4 linked regions of the Arabidopsis thaliana genome follow. The protein of the gene in region 1 interacts with the protein of each later gene in a biochemical or structural test. Each region holds a gene or a part of one and is shown in the gene's direction. Other genes may lie near its edges.

Region 1 (7,626 bases):
TGGGAGACTTCAACAAATGCCGGTTGCGTGAGGAGAAGGTAAAGGTCATGTCTCTTGTCCAAATAATACAATGTGGATTTGTCGTCAACGAAATCCATATCGACTTTTTTTTTTTTTTTTTTTCTCTTCCATATGTTCTTGTTGTATGTCTCAACATAATATTATTTTTAGTTGCGGTCAATAATTGGGTTGTAGAGAAAGTTACGAAAAATGAAAATTACATGTCAAGAAATGATACTTTACTTGCTCATACTTGTTACTCACTCGGCTTGTTAAGCTTTATTGTGATAGTCAATTACTCGTTTATATTTCTACTAATCCAGGATATTTCTACTAATCCAGGTTATTACAATTTCACAAAATATTATCAAAGTGAACTATCATTTTATTTGAGTTACGGTCTTAATTAGATGAAAACAAACCAACCCCTAGAATCTATGGATAATGAACTAACATGCTAAAGTTTTGACCAAGCGATTGGAAAATCAACAAACGAAATGGAAACTATTATGTGGCAATACTCGAGTACTATAGACCCAACTGACCCGACATAATCTCTTCACTTTTTATTTTGTTATCTAAAAAAATTCGGTATAAAGCCTTGTTTGGTTTCAAATTTTATCCACTTGAGAATCTCATATATCAAGATGAAACACCTACAACAACAAATGTAACTTCATATGTCAGGACCGGTCCGCAGGACAAGCATGTAATAAAACTGTGTGTTTTCTACATTTTCTATGAAATGGGTGTAATTGAAAGATACTAAATGTTAGGGCTTTTCAGAAACTTCCGTTACGTTTTAGGCGTTTAACACAATTATTATTTTCTAAAACGAGAGCCGTTTAAAGAGAAAGAGAAATTTCTAACTCCAGAGAGCGAAGAACACAATCCCAGAGTAGCAGAATCTGATCCATCCCACCTTTTTCAATTCTCAGGCAAAGGTACGATCTTTCTCCTTCCCCGTTAGAGATCAGCCTTAGATTCGTCATTCTCGTCCATTGAATCAATAGATCTCGAATAATTGTCTTGTTTTATTGTTTCTTCTCACGCTGTTTTGATGCTCTTGCTTGATTGGTGGATCCAATTGAAATTAGATCTCTGTATCGATTCGGTTGATGCCATTTTTATGATTCTTGTTCTGGATTTCCACTGTAATGGAGCTGATTTAAATAGTTCTATATCTGCATGTGTAGAGAGATTGTTGGCTGTTTCAATTTTCCTTATGGAGCTGACTCATTTTTACAAAGTGACTTTCATGTTTGATTCAATTCATTACCTTTTTGCTTGAGTTAATGTGTTTCTCAGTGTTGTTCATGTTGTTTCTCAGTTTTGGGTTTGTTTAATGTTGATTATCTTCATTCTTCAGTGTTTGATCTCATATTCAGATAAGTCAAACTTGAAAAAATGGAAGGGACTGTGTTCACGCCTTGTTTGGAAGGAATGAAGCATGTCAAATCTGATCAAGGCGAGATGCTTACTAAGCCATTTTTAGAGCTTTGCAAGACCATCTTGCCTGTTATAGGTAATAAAGGGAGAAGCTTTTTCTAATTGTTTCTTTGTCTGTCTTAATACTTTTAATGAGGTTATTGACATTTGTTATTGTGATTGTTCCTTGTTCTTCAAAACTTCGAAGTTCACGTATAGCTTGTGATTGTTCATTTTTCCTATGTAACACAAATGTTGTGTTTCCTACATGATGACTTCATTTTTCTGTGGTTATCTATTTTCCAGATAAATTTGGAGCTGCTATGACTCTCGTGAAATCTGACATTGGTGGCAACATAACGGTAAAAAATGCATTGTCTGCCCCTTTGATAATCGAATAGCACAAATCTATTTTACATTCACAGTACAAACTACTGACAAAAATGCATTGTCTGCCCCTTTTCTCGCTCTTCTTAGATTGTAATGTGTACCTCTGATGGCGGAGAATAGGCTAGTGAAAATGTCCTGTAGACTGTAGTAGTGATATGACCTCTCTGTATTGGATTATTGTCTTCTTACAATATAACTTTATTGGTCCGTCTCTTGTGTAGAGGTTGGAGAAGAACTACTTATCTGATCCCGACAAGTTCAAGTACTTGTACACCTTTGTTCAAGTCGAAATTGAGTCTAAGATAGCAAAAGGATCGTCTAGCTGTACAAACGGTCTTCTCTGGTTAACCAGGTAAACGATGACAACATGTCAACAATACACACCTTTATTTCGAAGAGAGCAGCTTCTCAAAACCATATATATCACCTATGAGTGAATCTTTCAGAGCAATGGATTTCTTAGTGGAGCTGTTCCGAAACTTGGTAGCACATCAAGACTGGTCAATGCCACAAGCTTGTGCTGACTCATACCAAAAAACACTCAAGAAATGGCACGGATGGCTCGCCAGCTCTACCTTCTCTGTATGTACTCACTAGTGCTTCTCTGTGTAATCAGCATATTCTGCAAACCAATCTCATTTTGATTTCCTGAGACACGGTAAACTTTGTTTTTATCAGATGGCTTTAAAGCTAGCTCCGGACAGGAAGAAGTTCATGGATGTCATATCTGGTTCTGGTAACATCCAAGCCGACATGGAAAGGTTTTGTGCTGAGTTTGGTCCGTTTCTTCATGATAATCATAAGTTTCTGGTAAACAAAGACTTTAAAAACTTTTGAGTCTTTACACTTTCTTCAATTTCATCACACAGGCTTTGATTATTTTGTTCTTGTTTTCTTTTTGGCAGGCTAGCGTCGGTATGGATGACATGAAAGCTTCTTAAGTCATCATATGATTATCGCCGGTATCAAATCTTCTTTGCCGGAATCTTTGTCTGTTTTAACTTTTCTCCTTCCAATTATAGAACCTCCAAAAAGAAACAGAATAATGTGTTGGTTTCTATCTGAATGTTCACTTTATATTACAAGTTATAACATACGAATCAATCTTATCAACTCTTCTTGTTAATGTTTGTTATGAAAACTTGAATCTTTCTTTTCATAATCTAAGAAATTTATTTTCAAAATATTTCACATAACATAATAATGTTTAACTTGTTAAAAAATAATGTAAAGTCTTTAAGATAGTAAATCTCATGCTTCAAAGTTCAAACCATTTTGCTTACTATTGCAAAATCTCTCAATTATTATCTTAGTATTCAGATATCACATTTTTCAGTATTTGCAATCTATGCAATTTCTCTAAATAATACTTTATACTATCTTAGATTTCATTAGAGTATGTTTATTAGTAAAATAAGAAATTGGTGTGGTCGTGTCTCCTTCCATTCGACCCGGAAAATCCTCTTGACAACTTGTTTCCCAAAGGAGGGTTCCCTTTGATAATAGCTCTACGTTGCCTCCATTACCAATCAACAATCTAATTATAAAATTATCTGTTAATTACAACTATGAAAATATTTCTTTCTTTTCTAAATTTTTTTATCCTCTGTTAAAACAACAACAAAACTTAGTGCTCTTCCTCTTCTTCTTTTTGGTCTGTTGATCTTTAACCAATAACTCCTCGGAGATCTCTCGATCCTTCTCTCTCTCCCTCCCTCCCTCTCTCTCTCTCTTCAAAACATTTCAACATTTTTTTTTCTCGTCAAGAGAAAATCCATGCGTTCAAGGTTTAAGTCTTCAGATTTCGTTATATTCTCTGTTGTTTTTTTGTTTGTGCCTTACAACTTTTTTCTTGATTTGTTCTTCGTTTTCTTTTTCTGCATGTTAGGTTTACGGTAACGATCGTCAAATCTTGAACCACAAAGGTTGTATCCGGCGTGTGGATACACATTAGCCGGAACCAACCCTTTATAGACCAATGGCGACGACAATGAAGGGTCTTCTTAAGGGCCTTCGTTACATTACTCAGATTTTTGGTGAGTCTCATTCATTTTCCCCATAAACATGAAAAAAATGAAAAATCATTTGTGTTTCTTGTGTCAAAAGTCAAATTACATGGTGGATGTAATTATTCTATTGCAGATGAAGAGAAAGAGCAGGAGATGCAGATAGGATTTCCGACCGATGTAAAGCATGTTGCCCACATTGGCTCCGACGGTCCAACCAACACCACACCAAGCTGGGTAAGATCATACGTACATTTATACGTATTTTCATACATGTCACACGTATCTGTGCTCATTATTGTTTTTTTATGGGACAAAAACTGCAGATGAATGACTTTAAAACTCAAGAACATGAGAAAGGTCAAGTCGTTTCCAGGGGAAATTCCAACAAATACAACCCGCAAGGTTAGTTATTTTTGCAAAGTGTGTTTTTCCTTTTCCCTTAAAGTGTTAAGCTTTGAGGAACAAATCTGGATTGGTTCGAGGAATTGATGTGTATCTCAATAGGGACGAACCAACGTGGAGCCGGGCTAAAAGAGTTACTGCCTTCGAACACAAACGAGAAACCGAAACAGAAAACAAGGCGGAAACCCGGAGGAGCAGCTTCTCCAAATCATAACGGGTCTCCGCCTAGAAAAAGTAGCGGAAATGCTGCATCATCAGATGAACCATCAAAGCATTCAAGACATAACCGAAGCGCACACGGGTCAACAGACTCATCGAATGATCAAGAACCATCAGTTCGCAGAAGGCGTGGTGGTATCCCGGCTCCAGACACAGAAGTTCCTAATCAAATACCTGATGGTTCAGCTCCTCCACGGAAGGCTACATCGCGTCCTAGGAAACTAAAAGGATCATCAGCAGGAGGAGAAGGTTCGATTAAGAAGTCTTCAAAAGGAAAACCCGAGAATTCAGTTGATACAACCTGTAACGATATTATCTGAGAAACATAAACAAAACCATGAAATGTATTATTTGAGCCACCTGCAAGTGAGAGTTTGTTTTCGTTTCTCTTTAAAGTCTTTTCTTGACAGTGTCTGATACAACAACTCAGAGATTCCATTGATACTTACCAAAATCTAGAAAGGAAATGTACGAGTACTGCAAAAGGAGAAGCAAGAAATGTATATAATAAACTTTGCGATCATCATATCTATTTCTTGCGAAGATCAATGCCGGCTTTCTTGGCAACAGCGTCGAGTCCGTTCTTCTCAATGGTCTTCAAAGCCTTAGTTGATAAACGAAGTTTGACAAAACGTTTGCCAGCTTCCCACCAAACTCTCTTGTATTGTAAGTTGACGAATTGCAACTTCTTGGTCTTGTGGTTAGAGAATGAAACTTTGTTTGCTCTGTTTGCTTTCTTCCCAGTAAAAGGGCAGATTCTACCTGACATTTTGGAAAACAAAAACACAGTTTCAAGAAAAAAGGAGCAAATTGCCCAATGCTCAGAATCATATAAATGTGGTCAATTTTGGAGAATTTTTTTAACATAACATCAAATTCAAAGGAAAAGTTTAATACGAGAAATTATGCTACGGGTTTTAAATACACTGCTCATTTTCATATCTAAAAGCAAAGACATAGTTCCAGACAATTCAACACAAGCTTGCTAACTCAGAGATTCGAAATTCGACATGAATAAAACGAAAGCAAGATAAATTTAGTACGCCAATGCATTCGACTAAACCCTAAGAGAAAGGGAAAAGGGGAATTACGTGCGACGATTGGCTGAATCCCGGGGAACGAAGGAAGGGAGATACGGTTGATGACGTCACTGGGAGTATATGAGATTCTTAAGCCGCTGAGCTGGGAGGTGAGGAATCCAAGCTCCTTTGAAGTCACGGTTGACTTGGTCATGGACTTGGCTGATGAGGTCATTCGTAGCCAAGCGCCTTGTGTCGCCATTGTCGTCATTTTTGGTTGCTGTTACTTCTGCTTCGAAGGAGGATTTGGATAAAGAAGGAGATTGGGTTCATTTTATTTATTATTTTGTAGAAAATGAAAGACGCTTTCTCATTCAGAAGGTTACGTTCTCTTTTAACACAACAATTTTTCAGTAAGCAAACCGGTCCATATAGCCACCAACACAATAGTATGGTTTCATCTTTCCCTTCTTGGATTCTCTAATACATAAAAGTAACGAGACACAGGTGGTGATGAATAATCCAACCTGATCAATCCCAACGATTACAAAGAGATTTTTGAAGGGTTTTTGATTGTAGATGCTATGTATCTCTGAACTCGGTTTGAACCGGTTATGTGGTAAAGATGAGAAGAATCACAGAGTCTCACTTGTTGTGGGATTATTTACCCACTTGGGAACCGGATTTGGTAAAGCTCTTTAGAAACATATTCTGCTTTCACAATCCGGTTATCATATAGCCTTCCGTGTAAAGAATGGGCTGCATCACATGTCGCTTCTGGTCTTCTGTACTCAATGAAGATACAACCCGTCTCAAATACATCCTCGGGGTCTTCTTCTTGTTCTTCTTCTATCTTGTCGCCAGCATCCCATCTTGTCTTCACGGTACGCACTGATGCTACTTCTTGTGGATTCTCTGCCTCGGCCTGCGCACTTTCTTCAACAATCTTTTCACAATGCTCTTGTTCAGTGGAGTGTAGATCTTCATTTTCTTGAGTGCTTGTTTCAGCAGCAGTATCCGAGCACGGTTCACATAACTTGTCTTCACCTGTCAAACTGTCTGGCATGACAACCTCTGCAAGATCTACATTGTCTGCAATATCTTCCGCTTTCTCGGATCCTTCATCTTTCTCCTCGATCACTGACACATTCATTTCTTTAGAATCAGTTGATTCTAAGTTCAACAATGGATTTGTTTCAGAAACAGTGATATCTTTGCTCTTGTGTTCCAAGATGTTTATCGACTTAATAACCCCAAACCTGCATCATGACAAGACCCAGAGGCCTATTTTCTTAATTTACTAGCTTTTAAAAGCTCAATGGACTCATGGGAAGATGATCTCAGAGCTTAACCTGGCACATTCTAACCGTACATCCTCCAAAATTTCTTTCACTTCTTGCTCGGAAAACGACGTGAGATCTTCTGGGTCAACCTGTCAAACAAGAAAGAATGGAATGTTAATATAGCCTCACATAGTTTATTTGGGAAAGATTCACAAGAAAAAGGATACACCAATTATGCTTACCACATTTTTTAGCTTTAGAATATTCTTAGGCTTGCCAAGAAGTGGTTTTGCATGGCTAGGTATCCCATAGAATGGTGGATTCTCATTCACCTGCAACACATATTACGTACACACACCACTCTCACAAGTAACTAAAGGAATTTCTGTTCAATGTCACCCATACAAACACAACATGAACTAACGAAAGCAAAGTTGGGTCACTGAATTACCGCTACGGATGATGCATCAGGAAATGCACAAACGGCTGTTATTACACTGCCACCTAACCTCATACCATTTAGACCAGCACAAGCTTTGAGGGTAACAGATCCATCAGTGTACTGAAATATAGAGATTTAAAAAGAGTTAGGGCTGGTTAATATGAATATACTTGGAACTACAGTCACATTCATGGTTACTCTGTAAAAGTTACAAGGTAATAACACCTTCCCATGCTACCCGGAAAATGAAAAATTAAAGATATGAAACAATCACAAGAACTACATCGAGATGGCAGACTAAGATGGGGGTATCTTGGCCACAAATAAAAGTACATTCTAACCTCTAGGAAAGCGCATCGCTGATTGAGATCATTGTTGCTCACGAACCGGTATGCTTTCAAAGGTCCAAAGACGCTGACAATCTCCATAAGCTG
Region 2 (8,358 bases), on another chromosome or scaffold:
CCACATCTTCATCAAGTATTTTCTTTAAAATGTAGGGGAAAAAAAAATCTAGTTCTTTTGTTCATAGTCAACCTGGACCAGTAGGTCGTTGGGCCTTGGGTCTTCAGTCACGTCGGCAATCAACATTCACTTACCCATTTGAAACATTGGATCAGCGTGACCAATGCCAACCCATTAATCTAAATGGTTTAAACAATCAAGCGTGCAAGGATAAATGCATTGGACTTGAGAGAACAAGATATGGAATTTGAAATGTTGCCTTACCAGTTAACAAGTGTCTCTGTTTCCTCCCAAGTTAATGTACCAAAACTCTTTGGTGCTTAATTGTGGGGGCTTTTATAATATTGGGTACATTTTGGGCCATAAATTAGAGAAAGAGCACATTATGATTGAGTTTATGAAGATAGGCAGTTTTTGGGAAATAAATTGACGAAATTGCCCCTGCGATTTCACTCATTCTCCTAAATTGTTTTTGCAGAATCTTTTCCTGAATTGTTTTTGCAGAGCCTCATATTGGATCGATTCCTAACTTGTTTCAATGGATGATGTATTAAGTACAGAGATTGATTATCCTATTTCTCTACTTAATCAATGTTTCTTTCTACAAGACAATATATACACAAAAGATGTATTTACGGAAACAAAATCGATAGAGACAAAAATTAGAAAATCTGTTAATAACATTTCATCACCATCCAATTCAGATAAACCCCAATAAAATCAGTTAAAAGCTTTTTGATGGAAGAAAGCTAACCCCTAAGAAAATATTATATAACGAACCCAAATATACTAATCTTAAATAATTGGAATCGATTAAAATTTTCAATTATTTCTTATCCCTCTTTGAAATTGAAGAAAGAGAGGATGAAATTAATTCAGATCAAACAATTCAAATTCAAAAAAGCTATGGAGGATTACCACCTGCATCGTCGAGGAAGAAGATTGGCCAGGCATAGATCTGAATTTTGTAAGGTGATGGAGAAGCAATGGACATCAATGGTGAGTTTAGAGGCAATAGATTCCATGCCATTAGAGAAAGAGAAAGAGAGAGAAATAATCGCACATTTCTGAGATCGATTGATATTGATGAATTCTCCTCAATTAGATTGAAGGTACAAGGAGAAGAAACTCAATTAGATTGAAGGATAAAACAGTCATCCATATAATATAAAAGTATCTAAATTTGTAAGGAACATGAGATGTTCCTATATCTACAAAAGCACAGACTTTAATATGCTAATCCCATAATTGATCCCTTAATTGTGTGTGTATTCAAAATAAGCCCACTTCTTATAGGCAATGTAACACTTGACTCAAAAGCCAAAGCAGCCACTTAAATAGTTAAGTTACATTAAACAGAGAAGCAGCCTTCCCTAAGTTAAGCATTCTTAATCTAACCAAATATAATTCATATCTAACAATGTTAACTTCTCTTTCTATTCTTAATAATAACCTAACAAATTAACTTGGGTGGTGTACTATTCTGAGTTTGTTACTTGTCTTGTCCATGCACGGCTAGTGCTGGTGCTGTCTTAGAAGGGCTTGAAGGTACGTGGCTGTTGATACAGAAAATGTTTAAAGAGGAGACAAGTCTTTGTCAAAGTTTGCGGATGACGGCTATGAAATCGAAAACGAATTTTCTTTCAGTTTTTCTTAAAAATTTTTTTTTACCTTAAAACAATAAGTTAAATAAATAAAATTAAATCGGATTTATCTTCTCGGTCGTCCGAAAATGGCAGAGTTGAATCCAAGAAGTTTTGTGTGGGAGTTGAGGTGGGAACTACGAAATTAAATATAATCTATGCGCTATTTTACAAATTTGTTAGTCCAAATCCACTATGTTGCTAATATTTAATTACATGTTTAGATCCTAATTAGTTTGATGATTATATAATCAATACCAAAGAAAGTGAAGAAATAACCTAATTTATCAACTTGCCAGCTAGTGAAGTAGCTCCTTGGAGGTTTCAGTAAAAAATAATAAAAGTCGATAAAAAAATACTACCCAACTTCATGGTTTATTATTAAATGCGATGTGGTCGAGACAAAGTACCACTTGAGTACCGTACTAGGATATGCTCAACATATTTAAAATTTTGACCAAGTCAAATTAACCAGCCAGAGATGTTAACAGTTAATGTAGTAGCCACCGGTCCAATGAAATTGCAAATGAACAAACGTAGCACCTGAAAACTCGCCACCGATCACGATCAGCACACTTTTTATGAATTGGTCAAGATATTATCTTCTATCATTAGATGAATACTTGCATGTTAGTATTCTCTACTATCAGACGGTGTGTATTTTTTTATTTATAGGGTTGAACGCTTTATTGTCCCATGCACACGTAAAAGTCGACCTCCCCATCATTTTTTCACTATAAATAGTGGTTGATTTCAAGCAGATTTCTTCAAACTAAAACATATATACATCGAAAACAACTAAGTATAAACAATAGTCATGGCTAAGTCTGCTACCATCGTTACTCTTTTCTTCGCTGCTCTTGTTTTCTTTGCTGCTCTTGGTGAGTAATGATGTTATCGTATACCATATGCATGGAAAATTGAGTTTTAACCTTTTTTCTTTCATTTTATTGTGATAATTAACTGTGAGAGATATATCTATATGCAGAAGCACCGATGGTGGTGGAAGCACAGAAGTTGTGCGAGAGGCCAAGTGGGACATGGTCCGGAGTTTGCGGAAACAGTAACGCGTGCAAGAATCAGTGCATTAACCTTGAGAAAGCACGACATGGATCTTGCAACTATGTCTTCCCAGCTCACAAATGTATCTGCTACTTCCCATGTTAATCTACCAAGAGCTCTTAATGCTTAATTATAAAGTGTGTATTTCTATTAAATAAGTATGTGTCACTCTATGAGAGGTCTTATGACATGTACCAGATATGTTATGTTGCTTTGTTTTAATAAGATAAACTTTTACGTACGACGTATACTACTGTTTCTTCTTGTCCATATTTGTCTGCAAAACTCCAACACAACACAAACGATTATTTGAAAATAGAGAATCGGAGGAATATGTTATAGTATTTCATAAAAACTGCTTATAATAAAGAGTATTCAGCTTATACATAAAAGAGAGCTAGCTACATAACACAATCTCCGACTTAATTATATACCAAAGAGATTTACCTAGCTAATTCAACTTTAAAAAACGAGGTCTTGTGTTGACATCTTTGAATTTTTATTTATTGTACTTAGGCTCGGCTACAATGTAAAAAACAGGCGGTTTCGGAGAAGAATACCAAATGTATGTTTCCACCAAAATTATGTCAATTTACAAGACTGATATCTAGAATGTTCATGCTGATCAGCTAGTTATGTGGTTATTCAAAAAATATCTATAGATATCCCAATTCCAAGATTTGTAAATTATGTTAATATAAACAAAACTGTTACTTCTATGGAGTTTGAACCAGCGTGGCAAAAATTTCCTGCACCCATATTAATATTAAATTATCTCAAGCTAGTATCTGATGTTAGATTTGTACTGTGTATCACACTGTACGTATGCTTGCTTACTTATTACTCTATTACAACAGATATTTGTGTGTTTTCATTGTTAAATAATGTAACAGAAATTTGTGGGTTTGACTGTTCTTTTTACTGAATTTCTCACTACTTGAAGTCTAACTAGAATAACATGTGACTGTTTTATAATTTATAGTTCGAGGTTGATTCAGAAAAGTCGTAAAAATCTCTCATAAATGTATTACCGTATGGCTCTATATTGCATATATGGGCCCAATGTCTCAAGTCTCAACCATGTTTTAAATTTTCAGTACTAAGCAATGCATATGTTTTTGTTAGACACAATTTTTCTTCTTTTTTTGATAAAATGTGAGTTTTTTTTTTTTTTTGAAATGTGATTAATTACCAAAATGGAAACATTGTTACTTGCAAAAATCTTTGGGACAAATAGCTTCTAAGACAATTTGTTTTTTAAAAAGCCTCAGAAACTAATAAACGCAAAGATTACAAATAGAGAACTATTACGAGCTAGGCATGGGAAAACCATTGAGAGAGCAGTCACCGCGGCCTTTGCGGTACCTTCGAGCCAGGAGAGTGTCTCTAATTAATGTGCTCCTGTCGATTTGCTTAAAGACAGAGGCAAATCTGTTATGGAGACTGTTTGTACTTGTCAAACTATGGGCCATCAGTCGACCGCAGCCATTGTTAGACACAATTAACTATGTGCGCCATCTATTATGGAGACTGTTTCCACTTGTCAAACTTTAGCACTATGCCTTTAAAGCTTTAACAAATGTTGAATGACTGAGAAACCGACAAACTTTAGTCTACTACATCTTATCTATATACTAATTACGCAACAAAAAAATAAAAAAAAATTGGATAATGTTTTAAAACATAACATATTTTACTCTTCTTCTATGACAGATGAATTACTACATTCCAAAATAAACAAGTAAAAACTCTTGTTTCGTGGATAAGCATGCACTAGGCAGTCAATTCATTTGGAGTCTCACCAAACCAAGTACCCCATGGGCCCTGGTGGCAAAAATGGTCACTAATCATGATATTTCAAGAGTTGTCATAATGGGCCTTAATTCGCTACTGGGCCTCAAGTGTGAGCCTTCGTGTTATTGTCTTTTCTAGCTTCCAGTTGTGTTAGTGTGTTTGTGCCTTTGTGTTATGGCCCTTATGGCACTCCATATTGTCACTTGAATCACTAATGTAAAGTTTATTCATTTTCAAATAAGTCGCTTTAAATAGAAGCACTAGATTTCATGATCAATCATTATCAAATTTCTTATAAAAAAAATCATAAAGCCTGAAATTCATTTCATGTAAGAATCAGAATGAATGGGTAAAGGTGTTTTTGGTTGAGAGTAGGTAGAAGCGTAGAGCTAACTCTAACCCCTTCTTTAGTTTGGTATGATTGAATATTAGTTCATATAAATATAATTGGTGAAATTTTGATGTGTCCTTGGTCCTTTAGAAGCAAACTGTAATAATGCGACCGTATGATTTGGATAAATCTAATGTGGGACAATTCATGATGTGTCGTATGCTCATTGGTAGGTTGAAAGAGAGTTGAGCACGTTCGTGTAAGATTTTTCGATTCTTATGTCGTAAAGATGAAGAAAACTCTTTAAAATTACAACTATAAAAACAAAGACAAAGACACTCTTGACAAAATTAAACCATATTAATTTGATAAGGGATTTGAGAAAAAGGAATGAAATGGTGCCGTAACACTAAGTCGCACGTTCTTGACGAGAGTCGTCCCAATCCAATGATTAATATTTGGCAATTTCATGCCCTCCCTCCCCATAGTTTGGTCGTTTATTATGCTTTACTCTTAGTTTTTTTTCTTAAAAATTATAATCTTTATTTATTTGCTGTCTTTTTTTTTTATAATTGTCAATTAGGTTAACAACTATGGTCAAATTAGAAAACATTAGTTTTTGTTAAAAGAAAATTAAAAAAAAAATCCATGTTTATTAGTGAATTAGGTTTTTATTTTGGTGGTAGTTTAGCTAATCTCATAAAACAGATAGTAATTTCATAATGTAAAAAGATATTTCTACTATACAGAAAAGGAAAAGAAAAAAAAAAACTCATTACAACGGATAATTTCTCAATTTGTATTCAAATTCAAAATTAAAAGTGCTCAAAATTAGTATTATTTAAAAGAAATACTAAAGTGGGGTGAGTGTAAATGATAAGGTGTTGTTTGGTGTAGCAAATAGCTGGCATAAGGTTGGTATTGAAAAGCTCATCTCAGAATCATCAACGGCCCAAAACACATTGCAAATTAAAGAAAAAGCAAAGATTTTCCTCATTCTTTTGCCATTATTATCTCTCATCGATTTGGCTTGCTACTTTTGAATTTACCCGTGTTCTACTACGATTCGGGATTAGGGTTTTTTCTTGAGTTAGAAAAGATTGTTTCTTGATTCTTGGGAATGGCTGGGATTTGAGGAAGAAGAAGTGCAAAAGGGTTCTTTTTTTGAGTTTGTGAATTTGCTGCGGAGATGAGTGCTTCGAGGTTTATAAAGTGTGTCACCGTCGGCGATGGTGCCGTCGGAAAAACTTGTATGCTGATTTCTTACACAAGCAACACTTTCCCTACGGTAAAGTTTCTTCCTTTTGCTCTCAGTAGTGATCTTGAAGCATTCTTTGAAAATGGGTTTTTGGAGATTATTCATCTTTGTTCTTGAATGTGATTGATTAGCTGGTAAAAATTGTAAAAATCAATTCTTGACATGTTTCTTCAGAACTTTTATTGATGCTTCCATGGATTTAGCTTCTTTGTTATTTATCTTTACCTATGAGCATTGTTCTTCTTTCATTTTGGACTTCATGTTCAATTTGTATGTATTAGTCAAATTTGCAGATATGAGGATCTATAATCTTTTCCATTATTGTGTGTGTTAATGATGATCCACTATTGTGTGTGTTTTAGTTTAACAAACTCTATGACTTGGTTACTGAATATCAGGACTATGTTCCAACTGTTTTCGACAACTTCAGTGCTAATGTGGTTGTAGATGGGAACACGGTGAATCTTGGATTGTGGGATACAGCTGGTAAATAATCCTTTTGAAACTCATCAAATCTGGTTTTCTTGTTTTTTTGTGGTTTCATTTTGACTGATAATTCTTGGGTTTGTGCAGGTCAAGAAGACTATAACAGGTTAAGACCGTTGAGTTACCGTGGTGCCGATGTCTTCATTCTTGCATTCTCGCTTATTAGCAAAGCTAGCTACGAGAATGTAGCCAAGAAGGTTAGCTTTTTGTTGATCTAACGTCTTTCATTTGATAGTAATAACTTTCGTTAAGCTGATTTTGAATTGGTTCCTTCATTTGCTTTTTTTTTTTTTTTTTTCTTTATTTCAGTGGATTCCTGAGCTTAGGCATTATGCCCCTGGTGTTCCTATAATCCTCGTTGGAACGAAACTCGGTATTGACTCTCTTCTTGTCTAAAAACTCTTTCCTTATAATAAGAAAGAGATGAATAATAATTCAAGTTTTGGAATTTGCAGATCTTCGAGATGACAAGCAATTCTTCATAGACCATCCTGGTGCAGTGCCTATTACTACAAACCAGGTACATAACTCCACAATTCTTTAAAACAATAGTGTTTTTTGCTTTGCGAGTTCTTGATCTTTAGTTGTTTGTCTGCAGGGAGAGGAACTAAAGAAACTGATAGGATCACCAATCTACATTGAATGTAGTTCAAAGACTCAGCAGGTATACTACACACATAAATAATATCTCACATGTCTTTTTGTTTGGGATTTTTGTATTTGGTAAGACAGTGAAAATGTTGATTGTTGGGTTTTGCAGAATGTGAAAGCAGTCTTTGACGCAGCCATAAAAGTGGTGCTTCAGCCACCGAAACAGAAGAAGAAGAAAAAGAACAAGAACCGCTGCGTGTTCTTGTGATCGAACATCTCTTAAAACGAAAAAAGGTTTAGGTAACAAAAGAAGCTGAAGGAAAACGAACACCTGCAACATTGTATAGTTGTTGAATCCGGCTTGTTTCGGTCTTTACTCTTCTTTTTGCTGGTGAATCTAATGAGTGAACTGAGGCCAAGAGGAGGATTCTGGGTAAGAGAAGGGGATGTGTTCTTTTCTTGGTGTGTTGTTGTTGTTGTTGTACTTTTGCTATGTAGACTAATCTCTTAATACTATGTTGTCTTTGTTTTTGCTGTTGGGGTCCATTTTGTATTTTCTTTAACAGAAATCTTAATTAATTTTTTAGTGACTTTTTTTAAGCTTCCGTTGATCTTATGGTCTTGTATTGGTATGTAATTAGATTCAGACAACGAAGAACATCTTGAGATAGATCTCTATATACAATAAGATTAGAGACATCGTTGAATTGAGGCATAGTTTCAAAGAATGGTTTACAGAAACGAGGATTCTATACACACAGGTGAGGTGAGTATAAGGAACAAAGAAAATAACAATTACAAAGGTTTTCTCCATTTTGTAATAAGACCGAAAAGAAAACAAACATGTGTAGTGTACACTTCCTTTTCAGAGTTTCCAACATTTCTTTGGAAAATACAGAGAATTCCTCTCGGGATTTGATGAGGCTTGTGTCTCGGATTTAAGTCACAGCTTGATAGGGTCATATTTCTCACCCATCAAACCACCTTTCTGTTTTATGAACTTAATGTAACGCAATGTACTTGTAAAGAAGGGATCTGAGTGGATTGTCGTGTTACCGTTGTCGCTTTGCATCTCATTGTTGATCAATTCTATGAGGCTCTGTATATCAGATGGAGTGATATGTGGATTCCCTTTCTCAAAGAAGTAAATGTACCTGTTGTATATGAAAAAAACATTTTTAGTATTGAGATGC
Region 3 (3,817 bases), on another chromosome or scaffold:
TTGAAAATGTTGTTTATATTCAGTTTGAAGTTTGAATATTGAAATTGCTTGCTTAGATTTCATCCAAATATGGATAAATGTTTTGTTTTTGGGAATTTGGTTGATTCATGTGGGCATTAAAGGCTTGTGGTGGGTCCAAGCGTGAGCAGATAGTGTAAGAGACCCACGTGTGTACTTAATTCTGATGAATAATGTGTTATGTACACTGGCACAAATATCTTGCCAAGTAGTGAGTGAGTGTTTGTTGTTTTTTGAATGTGGGTTTTGTTGCAGTATGCAGAGAGCATAAAGATGGATCATGAGAAGAAAGTGGAGCAAGTGAGGAGGCTTGAGATGAAGAGAGCTGAGTATGTCAAGACTGAGAAGGCTAAGAAAGACGTCGAGAAGTTAGAATCTCAGCTCTCAGTATCTTCACAAGCCATCCAAAGCGCCTCTAACGAGATCATCAAGCTCAGAGAGACCGAGCTTTACCCTCAGCTTGTCGAGCTTGTTAAAGGGTTTGTTTTGTGCATTCCCATTGCTTCATTAACCTAAAGTATCTTATGTTGGTCAATGTGAACAAGGTTCTTGTATGAATGTAATGTAGGCTAATGTGTATGTGGAGGAGTATGTACGAGAGCCACCAGGTTCAAACCCATATTGTGCAGCAGCTTAAGTACCTTAACACCATCCCCTCCACTGAACCAACATCTGAGCTTCACCGACAATCAACTCTTCAGCTTGAGCTCGAGGTCCAACAATGGCATCACTCTTTCTGCAACTTGGTCAAGGCCCAACGTGACTACATACAATCTCTCACGGGCTGGCTCAGGTTAAGTCTGTTCCAGTTCAGCAAGAATCCACTTGTTAGGAGTAGCTACGAGTCAAAGATCTACAGCTTCTGCGAGGAATGGCATTTAGCTATTGACAGGATCCCTGATAAAGTAGCATCTGAAGGGATCAAAAGCTTTCTGACAGCAGTCCATGGAATTGTGGCTCAACAAGCCGACGAGCATAAGCAAAAGAAGAGAACAGAATCCATGTTAAAAGATTTCGAGAAGAAATCGGCTTCGCTGAGAGCGCTTGAGAGCAAGTATAGTCCATACTCGGTACCTGAGAGTAGGAAAAAGAACCCGGTGATAGAGAAGAGAGTAAAGGTTGAGATGCTAAAAGGAAAAGCAGAAGAAGAGAAAAGTAAGCATGAGAAGTCAGTGAGTGTGACTAGAGCCATGACTCTAAATAACTTGCAGATGGGTTTCCCTCATGTCTTTCAGGCAATGGTTGGGTTTTCAAGTGTGTGTATGCAAGCCTTTGAGTCTGTGTACAACCAAGCTAAGAGCATCGGTGAGGATCAAGAGGAGGTTAAGAGGTTGCTTCCTTAAAGAGAGAAAGACAAATTGTTTTACCATTTGCTCTCTGTTTTTGCTTGATCCAAGCTAATCTTTTGGTTGAATGTTAGGTTGAGTTTATGCTGTTTTCGAAATGAAATTGGTTAAATGACTTTTCATTGAATCACTGCTTGAAACTTCATCAATTCAACTACTTCTTAGCCAAGTCAAATCATTGGAAGGTGACCTACCAAGGTATTATTAACATTGGAGAAGTGTTAGTTAGTTAGTTAGTGAGGTAGTTAAGGGGATTGCTTAAAGAAGTAAGCAAGTTTAATGATAATCAAACACTCGTGATGTGTACGTAACAGAAGAAAAGAGAGATGATTCGTTTGAGCGGCAGAAAAAGACAAGTGCCTAATTTGATTTCCCATAAATAAACACACAATCGATTGGTAATTTTGATTAGTTGGGAGCTATTAAAAGAGGAAATCCACAATAATCGGAAATAGAAAGACAAGTTTGGTTAGCGGAACGTTTCAACGCCATTTTTCCCGGCCAAAGCTAACTCTAACTAACTCTTTGTTTTTTTTCGGTTTTTGTGCCATCTTCCAGTTTTCATTTTTTTTGTTTCCCCTCTATCTTTTTGGGTAATAGGGTTTCTAATCTCTGGGACAAACTCCAATCGTTTCGAATCCGCAATGCCCAGATGGTCGATCAATAGAAATATCAAGAGTCTCCAATTCCAAAGGCTAAATCTTTGAGATCTTTTTTTTTATAAATTTCCCTGAAATTAATAAACTTTGAGGGGAAATGAGCGCTTCGAGGTTCGTAAAGTGCGTGACGGTTGGTGATGGAGCTGTCGGAAAAACTTGTTTGTTGATTTCTTACACAAGCAACACTTTCCCTACGGTTATGTCCCAATTATTCTTTCATGTTTCTTGTTTCATTACCACAACAACAACATATCTCATGTTTCTTGTTTCTTTTGTGGATATACAGGATTATGTGCCTACCGTTTTCGATAATTTCAGTGCCAATGTTGTGGTTAATGGAAGCACTGTGAATCTTGGATTGTGGGACACTGCAGGTTTTTCATTTTCCTATATATCTTGGTGTTTGAAATTTGGAATATGGTTTTTGGATCTGAAGATTTTGAAAATTTGGGTATGAATAAACAGGGCAAGAGGATTACAATAGATTAAGACCACTGAGTTACCGTGGAGCAGATGTTTTCATTTTGGCCTTCTCTCTTATCAGTAAAGCCAGTTATGAAAACGTCTCCAAAAAGGTTTTAAAAATCCATCAATCTTGTTTCATATTATTGAGTTTTCGTCACATTTTTTGAACTCTTGTCACAAATTGTGTTTGCAGTGGATCCCGGAGTTGAAACATTACGCGCCTGGTGTCCCCATCGTCCTTGTTGGAACAAAGCTTGGTGAGTTTTCCATTGTTTTTTCCTGATCTCGCTCCTTTTACTTTATTAGTTGTGACTGAGTTTGTGTTTTTGCTCTCCAGATCTTCGAGATGATAAACAGTTCTTTATCGACCATCCTGGTGCTGTTCCGATTACTACTGCTCAGGGAGAGGAGCTGAGGAAGCAAATAGGAGCACCTACTTACATCGAATGCAGTTCCAAAACTCAAGAGGTACGTAGATTAGTATATATACCCTTGTTGCAGATTTCTAATGTTAATGTTAATGCTAATGTTGATGATGTGAGAGTGCAGAATGTGAAGGCGGTGTTTGACGCAGCCATCCGAGTGGTGTTGCAACCGCCAAAGCAGAAGAAGAAGAAGAGCAAAGCGCAGAAGGCATGCTCCATTCTATGATGATTGGAAATCTCTGTTTTTATGTATTTGGTTTTGGTATATTAATCTTCTAACAATGAATGAATCAATGTGTTAATGGACAGACACCCAAGTTTGACTGGTCCTTTTTGTTCTTAATATTAATGGAGTTTGTCGGAATCAACGTTTCTTTTGCTTCTACGATTCAGTCCTATGCATAATTCCACACAAACACCACATGTTTTGAATCAGTTTTCATTCCCACCATTTCTTCAGCTGACCATATTTTGTATGTTACTGTTTTAAACTTTGCAAACATGTTTATTGGTAGAGAGTGTAACTAGGAAATGAAAAGTAATGATACAAGTTTTATTTCTCAAGATTACTCTTCATGCTTCTGCAACAAGACGAGAAGCCATTGATTATTGATGATTTGCCTAACAGAATGCAAGAAATAAATTCATTCAAACCATTCCATTTTGATTTTCTCGTATTTCTCATTCATGCCACCATCTTCTTGCTGTCTCTGAAACTCGATGTAACGTAGAGTACTATTTATGAATGGCTCTGCGCCTGACTCAACCTTCTTTGTCTCGCTTTTGATTAATTCAGCTAAGCTCTTGATTGTATCGCCTGTTACTTGTTGGTTTCCTTTCTCCAGGAAGTAGAGATACCTGCATTTGACTCGTAAAACCATTAAGAGAAAGCAGTGACAACTGG
Region 4 (8,782 bases), on another chromosome or scaffold:
AATTATTTATTTTTGCTGTTGTTTCGCGTTTGAAGCAATTCAATTACGAGTTTTAACAAAAACAAAAAGAAGAAGTTCGAAAAACTATCAGATTTGAAATGAAAATGACAAATCTTTTAAAGTTAAAGTTGAGTCTATTTTGTTCGGTAGTACGTGAAAGGGCAGTAAAGTCTACTGATTAAGTCAAAACTTTCATATGAAACTTTGATGTTAAGTGATATAATCGAAGAAAGCATCACAAACAAACAAAAGTATCCTTGGGATAATTATTTATATACAACGCACGAGTAATTCAAAAGCTACAGTGAGGAGCTATAACCAATAGTCTCACTTACCACATGGGAAGTTACATAATCAAAGCTCATGGATTTCAAATTTAGGATATATACAGTATGTTCTATTGTATATGTATTGGACTAATGCGTTAAAGCTGTTATAGTGTGAGAAGGACGTAACGAGAGGTCTTCGTGGACCTAATAATAATAACGTTTTACGGTTTTATCCAAAGACCAAAAAGCTACTAGATCTACGATTCAAACCAACACGCATAAAGATGAAAATTAAATTTTAAAAACAGATCTATAATCAACATGTCATGTTTGGTTGGTCTATTTTTTTCAAGTTTTTGAACACTCCCAACTTTCCCTCCACTCCTTTAGTTTACCACAATACCCAATCTATCTAAACATGTAACCACCAAACTCCAAATAATTTGCATGGCATGTTTGAGTAATGTGATCCATGAATTTGCTTCTTTTGTAACAACAATGCTTCTTTTGTAACAACAACAAAAATGTCTCGTGGAATATATGTTTGTGCCATTCGGATGAAAAATGAATTGAACGATGAAAAGGGCTGAAGAAAAACAAAGGGTTCGATTACCAAATATATAGAAACATGAAGGGCCTTTTATGTGATTTATTAGGGAAATGATAAACGCAATCAAGAAAAATAATTCTACGTTTGAAACGTGACGTTTGATTCTTTTTCTCAGGGCAAAGGCAAAGCAAATCCTCTGGTTGATCAGTAACATGTGGCAGAGGAAGAGGAATCAGACACTGCAAGGAACACACACGAGAAACGTCTCTCTCTTAGTTCTGGTAAAGTTTTGACCTCTCTCTCTCTCTTTTTCTATCAGAATCTGTAGAGTAGTAATGGATTTTTAAAGCTGGTTGATAATAATTTTTGGATCTAAGTAACAAAGGAAAGGCGTTACTCTTTTTTTGTTCTTTTCAAATTGGCGTAAAGTAAAGAAACTACTTTTTATTTATTTTCTCTTAAATAGATTAGATTATGATTACACCAAAAATAAAAAAACATGAAGTAAAAAACAAGGGTAGGTGAAGAAGAAGAAGAGGACAAAGAACAGGCGTGCTTAAGCAACGCTCATCTCTGTTTTAGGTTTTTGTCAACGATCCCTTTTGCATTAGGTTGAGAATTAATTCTGAATTTCTTGCATACTAGCCAGTGTGTATATATAATCAAACAATTCGATCCTAATTGGAAAATTTCTCCATCAGGTTCAGGTCTCGATCGAATTGATTTGAAATGGGTTCGTTTGGGATGCTTTCGAGGAGAACGTTGGGCACTGATATGCCCGTCATGGCTCAGGTCAAACCTCGTACTTCTCCACTTCCATTTTCATTTGATTTGATTTGATTGGTCTCTTGTCTTTTTTTCTTTAAAGTGAGAAATTGTTGGGGTTTTGCGTGCAGATTCGGAGTTTGATGGCGGAATTGACGAACCCCATGTCTCTCGCCCAGGTTTTGCCCTCTCTAGAAATGTGTGTTTTATTTATAATCTAATCTAGTTTAGTTCACAAAAGACTTGGGCTTTCGTGAGTGGTCACCTTCTTTGGCTATACTTTGTCTGGAGTTTTGTTTTGTCTGCAGGCTGATTCTTTTGCTCATGTGCTTTTCAGGGAGTGGTGCATTGGCAGCCTCCTCAAAAGGCCTTAGAGAAGGTCAAGGAGCTTGTCTGGGATCCTATCATTAGTTCTTATGGCCCCGATGAAGGTCTTCCCGAGTTGAGACAGGCTCTTCTCAAAAAGGTAATCGCACCGTACTGAACCATTCTTCTAGCTAGCTCTGGCAACCTTTCTTGTATCCAATAAAGTGACCACTTTTGCTGCTCTTGAATCCAATTCCGTGACTGAGCTTGTTTTATTTTTGATTCCTTGTCTTGTTCTGAAGCTGCGTGAAGAAAACAAGCTAACCAATTCACAAGTGATGGTTACTGCAGGTGCCAATCAGGTATAACCTGTCTTTGTTTACTCTTTTGATTGCTCTTCCTTCTGTTTTCTTCTACTCTCATACTCTGTTTCTGTTTTTGCATCTAATGTAGGCGTTTGTGAACCTTGTTATTACATTATGTGATGCTGGTGATTCGGTTGTCATGTTTGAGCCATACTACTTCAACTCCTACATGGCCTTTCAGATGACAGGAGTCACCAACATAATTGTTGGTCCTGGCCAGTCAGACACTCTCTATCCTGACGCTGGTACCTCCTTGATTCTGTATCACGTTTTTCATGACTTAACATAGCTTTAGTTGTGACCAGTGAATCATTTTTGTTCCAGACTGGTTAGAGAGGACACTGTCTGAGTCTAAACCGACTCCGAAAGTTGTAACTGTTGTGAATCCTGGTAACCCAAGTGGCACCTATGTCCCTGAACCGCTGCTTAAGAGGATTGCTCAAATATGCAAAGATGCAGGGTGCTGGCTGATTGTAGATAACACATACGAGTGAGTTTCTCATTTCCTTAATTCCTATGATGTCCAAATTGAATGTAGTAATAAGCGGGGATTTGAAAATCGCAGGTATTTCATGTATGACGGTTTAAAACATTGTTGCGTTGAGGGAGACCACATTGTTAATGTCTTCTCTTTCTCTAAAACCTATGGCATGATGGGTTGGAGGCTTGGATATGTGAGTGCTCGATTCAATTCTATTCCAAACTAAACACTGGGATTGTCTTATAAAAAGGTTTGATGGACCTGCAGATAGCTTACTCAGAGAGATTAGATGGGTTTGCAACAGAGCTTGTGAAAATTCAGGACAACATCCCAATCTGTGCTGCCATAATCTCGCAGCGACTGGCTGTATACGCATTAGAGGAAGGTTCTGGGTGGATAACGGAACGGGTAAAGAGTCTAGTGAAGAACAGGGATATTGTGAAAGAGGCGCTTGAGCCGCTGGGGAAGGAGAACGTTAAGGGAGGAGAAGGAGCGATATACCTGTGGGCAAAACTGCCAGAGGGACACAGAGATGATTTCAAGGTGGTGCGGTGGCTGGCTCACCGCCATGGTGTGGTGGTGATCCCGGGGTGTGCAAGTGGTAGCCCCGGGTATCTCCGGGTTTCCTTTGGAGGGTTGCAGGAGGTTGAAATGAGAGCTGCAGCGGCGAGGCTGAGGAAAGGAATAGAGGAGCTGCTTCACCATGGAATGGTGGAGTGAGACGTTGTTTAAAGAAGGGTCAAAAGATGGTTACTTTGCGTTTGGTTGAAGCTATATAGTTGTTTTAAAAAGAAATAAAAGAGTGTTTGTTTATTCAATAATCAATATAGCTGATTCTTCTTTACAAAGTCATTGTATTTGGGATGTTGTTACCAATGGTTGAATCCTTAACCCCTTTGGTGTATGTATATACTCTTTACTTATTCAAATGAATAATCCAGCAATGAATGCAAAAGCAAAAACTGGATCAGCTTTATTCGTTATGAGTCTTTCTCTAAATTCAAAAATTTAAATTCGAGTCTTATGATTGACGTTATGACTTGTGAGAAATTGATAATCTGGCCTTTTATTTGAAATTTTAATTTCTGAACCCAGAGGATAAATAAAGTTAAAATCGATGATGATTTTAGGCTTTATTGGTTTGAAAGTGGGCCGTAGATGGGCCCGAATCTAAAATATTTGAATCGAACCCGAATAAAGAAAGAGAGGTTGGATCATAACTACCATCGACGTGGCTTCCATCTTCTTCTACTTTGTCTTCCATCTTCGCCGACGAGTCACATCTCCGAAATCCGGAGCCGGAGAGGGAGAAAGAAGGAGAATTTGGGTTCTCCGAGATCGAAGCTCTTGCCTCGGAACCCTTGATTTTGTTTTGGAATAGGCTATTTTTTTAGTAAAAGAGGAAATGGTGGGAAGTAGTAATTCGTTAGCGGGTCTACAAGACCACTTGAAATTAGCGAGAGAATATGCACTAGAAGGATCCTATGACACATCTGTCATCTTCTTCGATGGCGCCATTGCTCAGATCAACAAGTAAGTAGCTCCTCTTATCTCTCCAGTCTTGAATCTAGCTTTTTTGTCACCCCTTTTGGCAATTTCTTCAAGCCCTAAGCTACTTTAATAGTTTCGTGTTGGATTGTATTGAAATGGGCTTAGAAAAATCTAGAATTTTGCAATGTTCACCGTGCAATGTCTGTGTAGACAGAGATAGAACACTCTTATGTGCTGCGTTAGTGGTTCTGAAGCTATGGTATACTGTTTTAGGCATTTAAACACCCTTGACGATCCTTTGGCCCGGACCAAATGGATGAACGTTAAAAAGGCCATAATGGAAGAGACGGAAGTTGTGAAGCAATTGGATGCAGAGAGGAGAGCATTTAAAGAAGCTCCCACTGGGCGTCGCGCTGCTTCTCCACCTATCAATACCAAATCATCCTTTGTTTTTCAGCCCTTGGATGAGTATCCAACTTCATCCGGTGGTGGTCCTATGGATGATCCTGATGTGTGGAGGCCTCCTACCCGTGATGTTACTAGTCGAAGACCCGCCAGGGCTGGTCAAACTGGTACTAGAAAATCACCTCAAGATGGGGCTTGGGCTCGTGGCCCTACTACACGGACCGGTCCAGCTTCCCGTGGTGGCAGAGGTGGGGCTACTAGTAAGTCAACTGCAGGTGCCCGCTCTTCCACTGCCGGAAAGAAGGGAGCTGCCTCAAAATCTAACAAGGCTGAGTCTATGGTAAGTTATATGTTTTTGCCTTTTGGTATTGCACAATAGAGAAGGTTAAACTTGAAAATTTTCCATCAATCAATATTGACTATGGCATTTCCATTTCCATTACTTTACTTTGGTGATAGACAGGATGTCATGAAACTTCGAAGTTGTTATGTTATAGTAGGACTGATGTATCAAAGATCATGATTTCTGTTACGTTTATGAATGTCTAATTCTGAAATCTGTATTTAGAAACTTTAGAGTCATGGCCATGTTTCCTGTGGTTATGTTGAGTCGGTAGTTTCCACCTATTTTCAACAACTAATAAAACTTTCGGCTTCCTCGTTGATATCAGAATGGTGATGCTGAAGATGGGAAGTCAAAAAGGGGATTGTATGAGGGACCTGATGAGGACCTGGCTGCTATGCTTGAAAGGGATGTGTTGGACTCAACTCCTGGTGTCCGTTGGGATGATGTTGCAGGTTTGTCTGAAGCCAAAAGGCTGCTTGAGGAGGCAGTTGTCCTTCCTTTATGGATGCCCGAATACTTTCAGGTACTTTGATTCTGCTCCATACGCTGTGAAATTTGGATTCTATATTACTATTATTAGACATGGAGCAATCATACAGAATAACAGTTTCAATTCATCATTTCCGTAGACTTTATATTTGATCTTCCAGGTATAGAGGATACTTAATTTGATTGTTTTTGTTTCCCTTCAGGGTATTCGAAGACCATGGAAAGGAGTTCTCATGTTTGGTCCTCCTGGGACAGGTAAAACCCTGTTGGCAAAAGCTGTTGCAACTGAGTGTGGTACCACCTTCTTCAATGTATCTTCTGCTACATTAGCTTCAAAATGGCGTGGAGAGAGTGAGCGCATGGTCAGATGCCTGTTTGATCTGGCTAGGGCATATGCTCCAAGCACAATTTTTATTGATGAGATCGACTCTCTCTGCAATTCTCGGGGGTAAATTTTCCTGACGATACTGAGATTTCGATACTGAAATGAAAAGTATTTGTAATTGGTGGAGGTGTGATGCAGGGGTTCTGGAGAGCATGAATCATCAAGAAGGGTGAAATCGGAACTCCTAGTTCAAGTAGATGGAGTGAGCAATACAGCGACAAATGAAGATGGTAGTCGCAAAATAGTAATGGTATTGGCAGCTACCAACTTCCCGTGGGACATAGATGAAGCTCTCAGGTTTAAATATTCTTTGAGTTAATGCCGTCTTTAGACTTGCTCTAATATAATGAAATTGCTGATTCTGGAGCTCACGTTGGTGCAGGAGGAGGTTGGAAAAACGTATATATATCCCACTTCCAGATTTTGAAAGTCGTAAGGCTCTTATCAATATCAATCTGAGAACAGTTGAGGTTAGTTGTGGATACATTGTTACAACACTCGCAAATCTCTCTACTGGTCCAACGCAATCAATTTAGCAATGAACATTGTCACTTTTCAGGTGGCGAGTGATGTTAACATTGAAGATGTGGCCCGGAGAACGGAAGGGTACAGTGGAGACGATCTGACTAACGTGTGCAGGGACGCATCAATGAACGGGATGCGGCGTAAGATAGCGGGGAAAACGAGAGATGAGATAAAGAACATGTCGAAAGACGATATATCAAATGATCCAGTGGCAATGTGTGATTTCGAAGAGGCCATTAGGAAAGTGCAACCGAGTGTGTCTTCCTCTGATATCGAGAAACACGAGAAGTGGCTCTCTGAGTTTGGATCTGCTTAATTAAACCCACTTTTTTTAATTTAGTGTCAAAAGATGTGTGCCTTTTCTTGTGTGTTGTTGTTTATTGTATCATTATTATTATTTGCCAGTCATTTAACATATTCTTATGTTTCTATATTCCAAACTTGTAAACCTCTACGAAAAAAGAAAAGGATTATATGATTTTCTTCGGTTTTTTGGCTTCAGACTTAGTGTTCATAATTTCTTTACTGTCTTAGAAGAAAAAAACCAGCAAAGAATCACCTTGGTCTTTGTATCTCCAATACGTTGCAATCATTTTGAAAGTATTTGTATATTTTGTAAATGATAGGGATTGAAACATCATCCTATCGTTGACCAAAAATTTCACTGCGTGCTATATAAAATACTATATATGTTACCCTTTAACTGATGAAAATGTAAAGAGACAAGGCAGCACCGTTTATCATCAGACCAGTTTCGAGAGTGTTCCTGCATCGTTGGGCTCCCTCCTCAATTTTGTCTACGTGATTATATATCATATCGTCTACAAACAAAATAAATACAATTCTATCATATGAATATGTGATCATCGATGATCGATCAATATATGTTTTCGAGGTGACGTATATAGTATATTTCCGTAGAGACGGCGAAGAACATGATATCTCTGCATGCCTCCAATCAAATCTTTACACTTCATCCTTCTTCGTTACTTGTTCAGTTGTTCCTTTCTAATCCCGACAACCCTTAATTTGTATTTCTATATTAGATCGAAATATCTCATTTGTGATAAATAAAATAAAAAAAATCAAAGAAAGCTATAGAGAAGCTGCGTGCATGCATGGGTTGGCGATGTTTGGCTTGTTATGTTTGGCTTGTTATGTGGCATTATCTGTATGTATATTACCCTAAATCACATCTACGACATTTCCCTCGATCTTCAAAATATGCCAGCAATCTTCATGTTTCCTCATATCTCTTAACATTGGAAAATGTCTTTTGACCTCTTTTGATGTATTTTAAATTACTTCGAGCTCATCTATATTACAAATCATTCATGGTGAATTATTGTCCAGCCAATAGAATAGAAATCTGAATATAATGTGTACCACATCTTTTATGTAATTTATACGATATTCTTTTTCCTGAGAATGATCAAATAACAACATGCATGAATTGCTGCCAGAAAACGTCAGATTGATCAGTTATCACTACAATTATCAATTAACTAGTAAATAGTATCAAAATGTACGTAGTGCCCATCTATAGCTAGCTAAGGAGGACTCCGGATGTAGAGAAAAGCTAAAATGTGACTTGCTAGAGTTGTATTATATTGAATTTTCTAAACTAATAGTATCTTTTTTACAGATAATAATTTCCGGAAAACCTATTAGATGTATAGATATAACAATAAGCATCGATACCAACCTTTTACTTCCAAAAAAAAATAAAAAAAAAATGCCAAGATGAGATAATTTTGTCAATTTCAATTAGTGGGAAAATAACAATTGTCGTGTTATTTTTGAACCAACGCATCTCAGTGAATGATTTCCCAGTTCTTAAGATTTTAGGACATACTTTCCCAGTAACATCTAATCCGTTTGGGCATAAACAAGACAATTTGTAGTTATGTACATTTCTTAGTGATGTGTGTTGAAAAGATATGAATCAATGAGGTCCGACATATTTTGTCAATACGTTAGTGGTGTTTCAAAATAAATTTTTAGTATATATATTAAAATAAGACCAAAGGATAGGCTTTAGTGGTGTTTCAGGTATAGTTTTAATAATCAATTCAAAATAAGTCGAAAGGATATGTAAGATAGGCGTTATTTCAACGTGGATCATTATCAACCATGTCAAAAACGCATTTCAACTCCTAGATGTGTTGTTAGTTATATATGTTCCAAATGGAATCGACCCAACAGAAAAAGAGAAAAAAACGTAAAAGGTTATGCGATTCCAGGGACGTCTCATATATATATATATTCCGATGAAATATAAATATAATTATCGTGGTCTGTGACAATAAATATGGAAATAGATGTGGAAATCATGATCATGTGAAGAAGAAGAAGAACACGTGCAGATGAACTGCAAATGATAATAATGTGCATGTCCATGAGTT

What was found.
Region 2: the proteins of RIC1 (region 1) and ARAC5 form a complex in vitro, tested with the Arabidopsis thaliana proteins (one study listed by BioGRID).
Region 3: the proteins of RIC1 (region 1) and ROP1 form a complex in vitro, tested with the Arabidopsis thaliana proteins (one study listed by BioGRID).
Region 4: the proteins of RIC1 (region 1) and ERH3 form a complex in vitro, tested with the Arabidopsis thaliana proteins (one study listed by BioGRID).

Annotation. Positions count from the first base shown.
Region 1 is NC_003071.7:14,171,732-14,179,357, reverse strand, and holds RIC1 (ROP-interactive CRIB motif-containing protein 1), read left to right. Parts: upstream 1-3,392; 5' UTR 3,393-3,605; intron 3,606-3,706; 5' UTR 3,707-3,796; coding exon 3,797-3,854; intron 3,855-3,960; coding exon 3,961-4,061; intron 4,062-4,150; coding exon 4,151-4,229; intron 4,230-4,331; coding exon 4,332-4,768; 3' UTR 4,769-4,977; coding exon of another isoform or gene 4,978-5,210; 3' UTR 5,211-5,214; downstream 5,215-7,626. Other genes in the region: GLTP1 (glycolipid transfer protein 1), read left to right, coding at 1,408-1,525, 1,735-1,790, 2,040-2,170, 2,265-2,400, 2,497-2,628, 2,724-2,759; PRPL28 (Ribosomal L28 family), read right to left, coding at 4,978-5,210, 5,540-5,738; AT2G33435 (RNA-binding (RRM/RBD/RNP motifs) family protein), read right to left, coding at 6,132-6,726, 6,820-6,899, 6,993-7,082, 7,202-7,312, 7,534-7,623. UniProt on the Arabidopsis thaliana protein: Functions as a downstream effector of Rho-related GTP binding proteins of the 'Rho of Plants' (ROPs) family. Participates in the propagation of ROP GTPase signals in specific cellular responses. Required for cortical microtubule organization.
Region 2 is NC_003070.9:28,469,945-28,478,302, forward strand, and holds ARAC5 (RAC-like GTP binding protein 5), read left to right. Parts: upstream 1-5,704; 5' UTR 5,705-6,019; coding exon 6,020-6,118; intron 6,119-6,486; coding exon 6,487-6,574; intron 6,575-6,661; coding exon 6,662-6,771; intron 6,772-6,883; coding exon 6,884-6,947; intron 6,948-7,029; coding exon 7,030-7,094; intron 7,095-7,172; coding exon 7,173-7,238; intron 7,239-7,334; coding exon 7,335-7,433; 3' UTR 7,434-7,858; downstream 7,859-8,358. Other genes in the region: LCR67 (low-molecular-weight cysteine-rich 67), read left to right, coding at 2,461-2,524, 2,632-2,810; VPS35B (VPS35 homolog B), read right to left, coding at 8,109-8,319. UniProt on the Arabidopsis thaliana protein: Involved in cell polarity control during the actin-dependent tip growth of root hairs, thus regulating root hair length and root hair initiation.
Region 3 is NC_003074.8:19,041,077-19,044,893, forward strand, and holds ROP1 (RHO-related protein from plants 1), read left to right. Parts: upstream 1-1,781; 5' UTR 1,782-2,120; coding exon 2,121-2,219; intron 2,220-2,309; coding exon 2,310-2,397; intron 2,398-2,488; coding exon 2,489-2,598; intron 2,599-2,681; coding exon 2,682-2,745; intron 2,746-2,825; coding exon 2,826-2,956; intron 2,957-3,037; coding exon 3,038-3,139; 3' UTR 3,140-3,317; downstream 3,318-3,817. Other genes in the region: AT3G51290 (pyridoxal-phosphate-dependent serine hydroxymethyltransferase, putative (DUF632)), read left to right, coding at 274-497, 587-1,340, 2,310-2,397, 2,489-2,598, 2,682-2,745, 2,826-2,956, 3,038-3,139; VPS35C (VPS35 homolog C), read right to left, coding at 3,558-3,771. UniProt on the Arabidopsis thaliana protein: May be involved in cell polarity control during the actin-dependent tip growth of pollen tubes. May regulate callose synthase 1 (CALS1) activity through the interaction with UGT1.
Region 4 is NC_003070.9:30,203,410-30,212,191, reverse strand, and holds ERH3 (P-loop containing nucleoside triphosphate hydrolases superfamily protein), read left to right. Parts: upstream 1-3,923; 5' UTR 3,924-4,141; coding exon 4,142-4,269; intron 4,270-4,500; coding exon 4,501-4,972; intron 4,973-5,303; coding exon 5,304-5,501; intron 5,502-5,670; coding exon 5,671-5,915; intron 5,916-5,990; coding exon 5,991-6,149; intron 6,150-6,234; coding exon 6,235-6,322; intron 6,323-6,411; coding exon 6,412-6,693; 3' UTR 6,694-6,878; downstream 6,879-8,782. Other genes in the region: AT1G80360 (Pyridoxal phosphate (PLP)-dependent transferases superfamily protein), read left to right, coding at 1,549-1,611, 1,716-1,763, 1,922-2,050, 2,193-2,252, 2,344-2,500, 2,580-2,745, 2,821-2,929, 3,004-3,456. UniProt on the Arabidopsis thaliana protein: Severs microtubules in vitro in an ATP-dependent manner. Required for oligomerization of functional KTN80-KTN1 complexes that catalyze microtubule severing. This activity may promote rapid reorganization of cellular microtubule arrays.